Bombyx mori: one gene and its partner. The protein of the gene in region 1 binds, or shares a complex with, the protein of each later gene. Links are inferred from orthologs where the notes say so. Each region holds a gene or a part of one and is shown in the gene's direction. Other genes may lie near its edges.

Region 1 (3,520 bases):
TAAATACTTGCAGTACTGCGATAAGATTGAGCGAGTACTCACTTAGCGATAACTAACTGTAATTATGATTCGAAAGTCCTGCCTATTGCTATTGTGACCAGATAAATATTAAAAAACCCTCTTTTAAAATAATTTATATATACATGCATACCGTAATTTCACAATAGATTTTATATGATTATCATTCACCCTAATACACAATAAAAAAGAGGATGGTTTGTTTATTTCTACTTTGTATCTGTTGTTTAATATAACCATAGGGTAGTATAAAATAGGTAATTTATTATTAAACAATAATAAATAAATTAACATTTTCTCTTCCTCTTTATTGATTTTGTTACAATGGTACTAAATAAAAAAATGTGTGCGTGTACTAGTGTACACACGTAAGAAGTGAAACTTGTTTATGGCCTTATTTTTCGAAAAATGATCTACATGCAACTTTCTAGAAATTGGTTAAATAAAGTTAAATTAGATAAAGTTTAAACAAAAGGATTTTATTATCATAGACAATAGACATGAATACAAATAATACAATTATTTCACTTTACCTTTTTGCTACTAAGATTATTACAGCATTTTAATAATACATCTCTTTGATATCATAATACCCTGGTACTTTTCTTCCTATAAATTAATAATAATAGCACGGTCCACGTGGTGTTAAATGGGGTTCCTGAGGTTCGTGAAGTTTGACCCACCTTGAGACATGAGGTCGATTTCTCAAATCCGAAACCATGCTTCAGAACATACCGCCGTTAATTATTAATAAATCTCTTTGCTATCATAATACCCTGGTACTTTTCTTCCTATTATTTTACGTAATAACAGTAATAAATAGCACGGTCCACGTGATATTATTAAGTGGGCTCCCTGAGATTATTGGAATTACAAAATGATTTCCGTAATCCACCTGGAGACATGAGGTCAATTTCTCAAATCGGAATCCATACTTCAGAACATACAGCCGTTAATTAATAAAGAAGGCTGTACGTCAGAGTAAAGTTATAATAATACATCTCTTTGATATCATAATACCCTGGTACTTTTCTTCCTATTATTTTACGTAATAACAATAATAGCACGGTCCACGTGATATTAAGTGGGTTACCTGGGATTATTGCAATTACAAAATGTATTCCGTGACCCACCTTGAGACATGAGGTCGGTTTCTCAAATGCGCATCTATACTTCAGAACATACAGCCGTTAATTAAAAGATGGCGCGTAACGGAAAAAAGTGACGCGTAACCGAAAAACGTGACGGTAAATTTTTTTCCAACGCCGATAAGGAAGTTTCACTTCAAAAATATTTCTGTATAGTCAAACCATCAATAGTCAATCTATCAATATGTAGAATAGTTTATAAATATTTACAGTACAATTTTTAAAATAATCATGTGGATTAATTTTCTTTGGATCATTTGGATCATTAAATTGTCGTCGCATCACGAGAACTGTCAAATATCTGTCACTCGTATCATCCTAATAATACCTGGTATCTCAGTAGGTCAGGATCAGGAAATTAGACAAAAAATTATAGTGAAAACATAGGTAATCCTTATATTGATGTTAAAGCCTAGAAATGAATTTAAAGTAGATTTTAGTTAACTTTCTGAGGAAGTCAACATAACAATGAAGTGTCACGTTCCGGGGCCTAATGTTAAAGGTAATATAAAGTGTGTGTTATCAATACTGAAATTATGCTGGCTCGGAAACGAATATAATTTTTATATAATTTTAGTTTTAGCAAGAACAGTACATACCTTAGCTCGATTTGGAGATGAATTATACCTGGAGTCATTACCCGACTGTATATTATTGAGAACATTGAATGCAGCCGAATCCGCATATGCGATGATTAAATTTAACAAAAACTTCTTTTCTTATTTTAATTACAATTATTACTCGACTGAAGATAACGAAGGTCTGAAATGCAAAATATCGATGAAGTCTGCTTTAAACGCCTTTAAATCTCCAGCTCACATTGATAAACAGGTAGAAAGTTTGGAAATGAAATTAGATCCAGAATCTTGCAAGTTAATATTTTGTTTGAAATGCAAGCATGGTATAGTTAAGACACATTTTGTATCAATATTAGACTGTAAAGCGATGCAGGCTGTGTACACTAAAGATACAGTACCAAACAGGTAAAAATTGTAACCAAAATAAAATATTAATTTATTTTTATCACTGTTAGATTGTAATGAAATATTTTTCAGAATTACTTCACCTCAAAGAATACTAAACGAAACACTGAACAGCTTCCAAACCTCTGACGACCAAGTGACATTAGAGGCCACAACTAAGTCACTGGTAATAAAAAATTATATTGATAGTAATATGGATCTGACAAAAATAATTCGAACACATGTAAGCTTAGATCCTGCTGAATTTGACAACTACATCATAGGAGAGGAAACCACTATAACATTTACATTAAAAGAGTTCAGAGCCCTACTTGCGTTTGCTGAAGCATTAAATTTGCCGTTGCAACTTCATTTTGAGACTACAGGTCGTCCAGCTGTATTCATAGTCCATAATGGAACTACTTTTGAAGCACATTTTGTGTTAGCAACATCTAAACCAGACAATGCAACACAAGCAACATCAACACAGAGCACTACCACAAAGGAAAGGAATAAAAGAAAAGATACATGTAATACTCAAGGCTCAGTAAAAAAGAAACGGCATATAGATGTTGAATTTTCTAAGTGCTTAGAAGAGGACTCTCATCTATTTAATTTTGTTGATATCCCTGATGATATAAATCTTAAAGCTAGTAATAATTTAGATAATGTTAAAGAACAAATAGACTTTGATAATGTTATTCCAGCATCTCCAACTTCAAGGACTAAGATAAAATCAGTATTTAAGAGATGTTTTGAAAGTACTTTTGATCCAAAAAGTATTCAAGGTGTCATTTTAGCTGAGAATTCAGACAGTGAATAAAAAAATAATGTTTTTAAAGTTGTTTGAAAGCAGATTAAAAAAAATTAAAATATTCCCAATTTTCATCAATATTATCTTATCTAATTTTCAGCAATATAATATGGTCTTATTACATTTGTTGGGAGACTCATAAACCACTTCAAAGATTATGGCTGATGTTTGGTTAATAATTTTGATTAGAGATCTCCCCACAAAATAATATGATTTATATTTTTTATGTTTTCTTAAAGGCATAAAAGGATTCAAATAAAATATAGAGTTCACTGCATTGATTTTATAGCAAAAAATATACATACAGAGAAACAGTATACACACATTACAAATCAACGATCATGATGTAGACCAAAATAGGGGTTCATCACTATGCATTTCTCACTATATATGTATTTATCTCGGTAACAATATGTATTGATTTTATATAAAGCGTATGTTTAAGACACCATCTCAACTCTTTGAAACAAGATACAAAACTCAAAAGCTTAATGATTTAAAAAAACCTACTTCATTGCTTTAAGGCAAAGTGAAATTGATACAATTTTTACAGAAAGTAGTTTTTATTTATTGAAAGT
Region 2 (4,162 bases), on another chromosome or scaffold:
CAGTGACGTTTGTACTCTATGGTCAAAGCTGCCAGATCGCAAAGGAATGGATTCGACTAAATCAAGTTCAAATCATCATCATTCAATCATCAAAAGATACATTTATTAAAAATAATTATCAGTTGAATACATCTAAAATATTCTATTCAACTGATAATTACTTCGAACCAACCATTATTAAAAACGCGATTATTATTATTTAGTCCGCAAATGACCCATGGTACAATGATTCAAGTACCGACAGTCATAATGGTCTGTTAATGCCTTCAGGATGCTGTTAGGGCTGACCCGGACCCGGCGAATCAGGGATGTGCATCTTTTCCGCATGGTCTTAAAGAATCAATCGACTCGTGCTTCGGCGAACATTATAACATTATAACAAGTAGGTACCACCACCCTGCCTATTTTCTGCGGTGAAATCGTAATGCGTTTCGGTTTTGTATTGTGGGGCAGCCATTATAACTATACTTGGGATCTTAGAACTTATATCTCAAGGTGGGTGCATTTACGTTGTCCTTGGGCTCCAGTAACCACTTAACACCAGGTGGGCTGTGAGCTCGTCTATCCATCTAAGCAATAAAGGCTGAATCTTGTTAACAACATTTTCAAGATAAATTTGCATAGATACGAGTTTCGAACCACAACATTAGAACCGTTAGTCTACCGAGCAATTTTATCCGCTCGGTGTAAGATCTTACCTTTTTTGTTAACACCCAAACTACTAAACTCTGTGATAGAGACAGTTACATGTAAATGTATGCACCTATACCTACATATTAAATATTTATCATCGCCAATATTAACACACATTCTTTACAATAGAACGAATTTTGTATCAAACTTCGTCTCACGCTGAAAAGATACTCTGATCTTTTCTTTTAGGTGCTTCCGGCTCACGTAGTATATCCTATACGTACAGATGTAGCAGATTCAGACTGGCGTAAACGAGAGTTTTCTTCTTTAACAGAAGATGATCAACAAAAACGGTAGAAATATCCTAATATTTTCTTACGAGCATCATTCTACATTTAGGGACTAAATCAATTGGCTCTGTAAGATACCTTAAGCACACATTCCGAAAAACTTTAATTAGCTAAAAGTCTCTGTTATTTAAAACACCGTTTAGCAAGAATGTTTAAAATTACAAATTGAATATTGTAGGAGCATTCTTGTCAAAGATCAAAGCCATTACTTATTTCTCGGCTTTCTTAACAGTTTCATCGGGGTATCTCATTATTATTAGTTCACAGAAACTACAGCTGGATAGCCTTCGTTACTTATTCTCAATGAACCAAAATGTTTGCATCATGAAATCACCTTTGCACTTTAAGTCGATTTCAATACTGATAAGAGTTTTTGTGCAGTTGCAATACTAGCCAAATCTATATTGTCAATGCTCACTCAATTTTCGCGCTGCCTAAGTTTTGAAAACAACACAGTATTGGAAAAATAAAACATAAATTACATGTCGAAACTGTGTTTAGTTACTAATTATTATATATCTTAAAATAGTGTGCAATTCATCATCTCATTTTGCACGAATTAAACAACTGTTTTCAAAAGACGAAAAACATATCACTATGAAATTCCGTGCTGTTATGAATAACTCTTCTCCAATACGCGAATTCTCAAGTAAAACTCCGCTTTAATGGTGTTGCTTACTAGTTTTTGATTATTGTAACCAGAATTTTGTTTTCAGCTATTGTTAGTACAATATCAAAACTGTCTAAGGAGTGTGTCCTAAGGATAGCAGACGATATGTTGTATTTCATTGTCAGCGATGAAAACACTGGACCAGCCCCTCCGGTACTATGGTGTGAAATACCACAAAGTGTATTTTTCTCTGAATATCAATTGGTTGGAATGGATGAAACTCACCAAGACATTTATTTAGGATTGAATTCGGGTATTATAATTTCCATTAAAAAGTGCTATGATAAAATAAATAAATTATTCTTGGTGAATATTTCCAATATCAAATGTTTAGATATTGATAATCATTGATATTAACTTAATAGCCATTAAGTTTAAAAAAGTGGTGATCTTCATTCAGGTACATCTTAAATAAATAATAAATTGTTGTTTTCCCAATACCATTTAAAGTTTCATGGTGTCTAGAAATATATAAAATAAAAAAATTTAAAATATAAAGAGTGGAAAAATTTTAGGACTAGCTGACCTTAAGCTTATGCTTAAGATGCCAGACTTCCAGACCCTTAGGGGTTATAATCAGATATTAGAAATCATTGTTTACTTGCACTCCAAAATGTTTTAAATGATAATCATGCAATATTAATAGCTTAAACCTCTTTTCACATGTATTTATATTTTGCCTAGCATTCTTTGTTTAATACACTGTTCAACATAGAGAAAATTAAATAACAATAAACATAAGAGACAATTGAACACAAATGTAATTTAAGTGTTTGGCATGGTTAGGTTGTGTGTGTTAGGTGTTATCTGTAAGATTTTGGTGTTTGTGTGTAGGAATTAGCAGTTTATAAACAGTTCTGAAACTGTTCGTTTTTTATGACAATGTGTTGCACTTTTTTTTTACTTAGATGGGTGGACCAGTTAAGTGGTTACTGGAGCCCATAGACATCCACAATGTAAATGCGTCACCCACCTTGAGATATAACTTCTAAGGTCTCAAGTATAGTTACAACGGCTGGCCAGCCCTTCAAACCGAAACGCATTACTGCTTCACGGCAGAAATAGGCAGGGCGGTGGTACCTACCCGTGCGGACTCACAAGAGGTCCTACCACCAGTGTACTTAAAGTAAAATAATCAACAGTATCTTAGATACTTATTTATATTGAATACTTGAGGACTGTTAGATCGTTTTCCAAGTTATCATAGTTAGTTCTTGTAACCAATCCATCAATTTCATTATGCATCATTTAGTTTAGTTTGCCAAATCACAAAAAACCCTTGATTTTCCTGTAACAACCACCCCTATAGCAAAGTATCAATAACAATGCTTTAAAAATAAATATTACAGACAGACAGACAAAAAATCATGTTACTGTGCAGTAAATTACTATAAGGAATGTTGAATTTTAATGTGTTCCTTTTTTATTGCTAATAAACAGAATCATGGCCCCTCTAAAGCCCATCATCATTCGTGAATATCAGTAATACTAGGAGCATGGCTGTGGCAGATAGCAAAATTGTAAAATGCCGTAATACAACTTACTGTAATTTTCAGGTAATCTCGCAAGATCTTTTGTCTCCTTGAAAAATGTAAAATCATTAAAAATGAAGTTAACAAAGAAACAGTGTCCGTGCCTAACATTGGAAATTGAAGTGGTATGCTTTTAATAAATAGCACCTGTTCACTTATGACTTGGTTAATGTAGACCTAGGAATGACCTTAATAAAATGAAGCCCCACGGATTTGTTAATATGTAACACATTAGAAATCTTGAGTCTTCTAATTGTTGCCTTTATCCCGTAGTGTAGAGGACCTATTCATTCATGTCAGCATGTCCTCTTTCTCTATTCAGACCTATCATACGTTATCTCTGCACTCACACCCTTCTCTCACATGTGCTCTTTCACGCAGTCCATCCAAGTGTTATTAGGCGGTCCCTCATTAGAAATGTTCACTATTAATATTTATTTAGTAACTAGTGAAATTAAATCGCCCTCTGCCGGTACTATTCTTAATTGATTTCCACCTAGTTGATTTATATTCTAAATACTATTGCAAGTTTCATAAGATGTAGAATGTAAGAATGTGTAAAAAACATGCATTCATTTTTATTGAAATCAAAGACTACACTAATGTTGTAAGTATCAAGTTCCAGTATAGTGCTTATTTCGATTTTTAAACAATCAAACGCACCCCCGCCTTTGGATTAAAATTTGTCAATACTATTTGAAAGTGTTGTGTTTATTCACAGTGCATTTGCAGAGATATTTTCCACATACCATCTGGTTCTGCAATTAACTCACCCCTTTCCTTAGCGCTATGACATGTGCTTCTTCAAACAAGGCTTACAAAGAGTACTTAGCGGTTGCAACTTGGCTGTGCCTCTGGCATTGCTGACATTGCTTCATGTATGAGGGCAACTACTCCCCATCAGGTGTCCACAAGCCTGTCTGTTTACAAAGGCCATAAAAAACGCTGCATTGCTATTTGCATCTTGTTAGTCTTCA

The links.
Region 2: the proteins of cell cycle checkpoint control protein RAD9A (region 1) and checkpoint protein HUS1 are in contact, whole or in part, in a crystal structure (PDB 3GGR), measured with the Homo sapiens proteins. The link is inferred for Bombyx mori from reciprocal best matches to the Homo sapiens genes RAD9A and HUS1. Residues at the interface, in NP_004575.1 of Homo sapiens: Leu157, Pro158, Pro161, Val176, Ala186, Lys191, Ala192, Met193, Val194, Thr195, Glu196, Met197, Cys198, Leu199, Gly200, Asp203; in NP_004498.1 of Homo sapiens: Thr84, Asn87, Arg90, Ala91, Lys93, Thr94, Phe110, Ser121, Ser123, Ser126, Arg127, Ile128, Val129, Thr130, His131, Asp132, Ile133, Pro134, Ile135.

What each region holds. Positions count from the first base shown.
Region 1 is NC_085122.1:9,591,749-9,595,268, reverse strand, and holds cell cycle checkpoint control protein RAD9A, read left to right. Parts: upstream 1-1,293; 5' UTR 1,294-1,634; coding exon 1,635-1,668; intron 1,669-1,743; coding exon 1,744-2,149; intron 2,150-2,221; coding exon 2,222-2,951; 3' UTR 2,952-3,020; downstream 3,021-3,520. UniProt on the Homo sapiens protein: Component of the 9-1-1 cell-cycle checkpoint response complex that plays a major role in DNA repair. The 9-1-1 complex is recruited to DNA lesion upon damage by the RAD17-replication factor C (RFC) clamp loader complex.
Region 2 is NC_085134.1:9,690,874-9,695,035, forward strand, and holds the start of checkpoint protein HUS1, read left to right. Parts: upstream 1-1,362; 5' UTR 1,363-1,580; coding exon 1,581-1,632; intron 1,633-1,685; exon of another isoform or gene 1,686-1,699; coding exon 1,700-1,906; intron 1,907-3,209; coding exon 3,210-3,310; intron 3,311-4,162. UniProt on the Homo sapiens protein: Component of the 9-1-1 cell-cycle checkpoint response complex that plays a major role in DNA repair. The 9-1-1 complex is recruited to DNA lesion upon damage by the RAD17-replication factor C (RFC) clamp loader complex.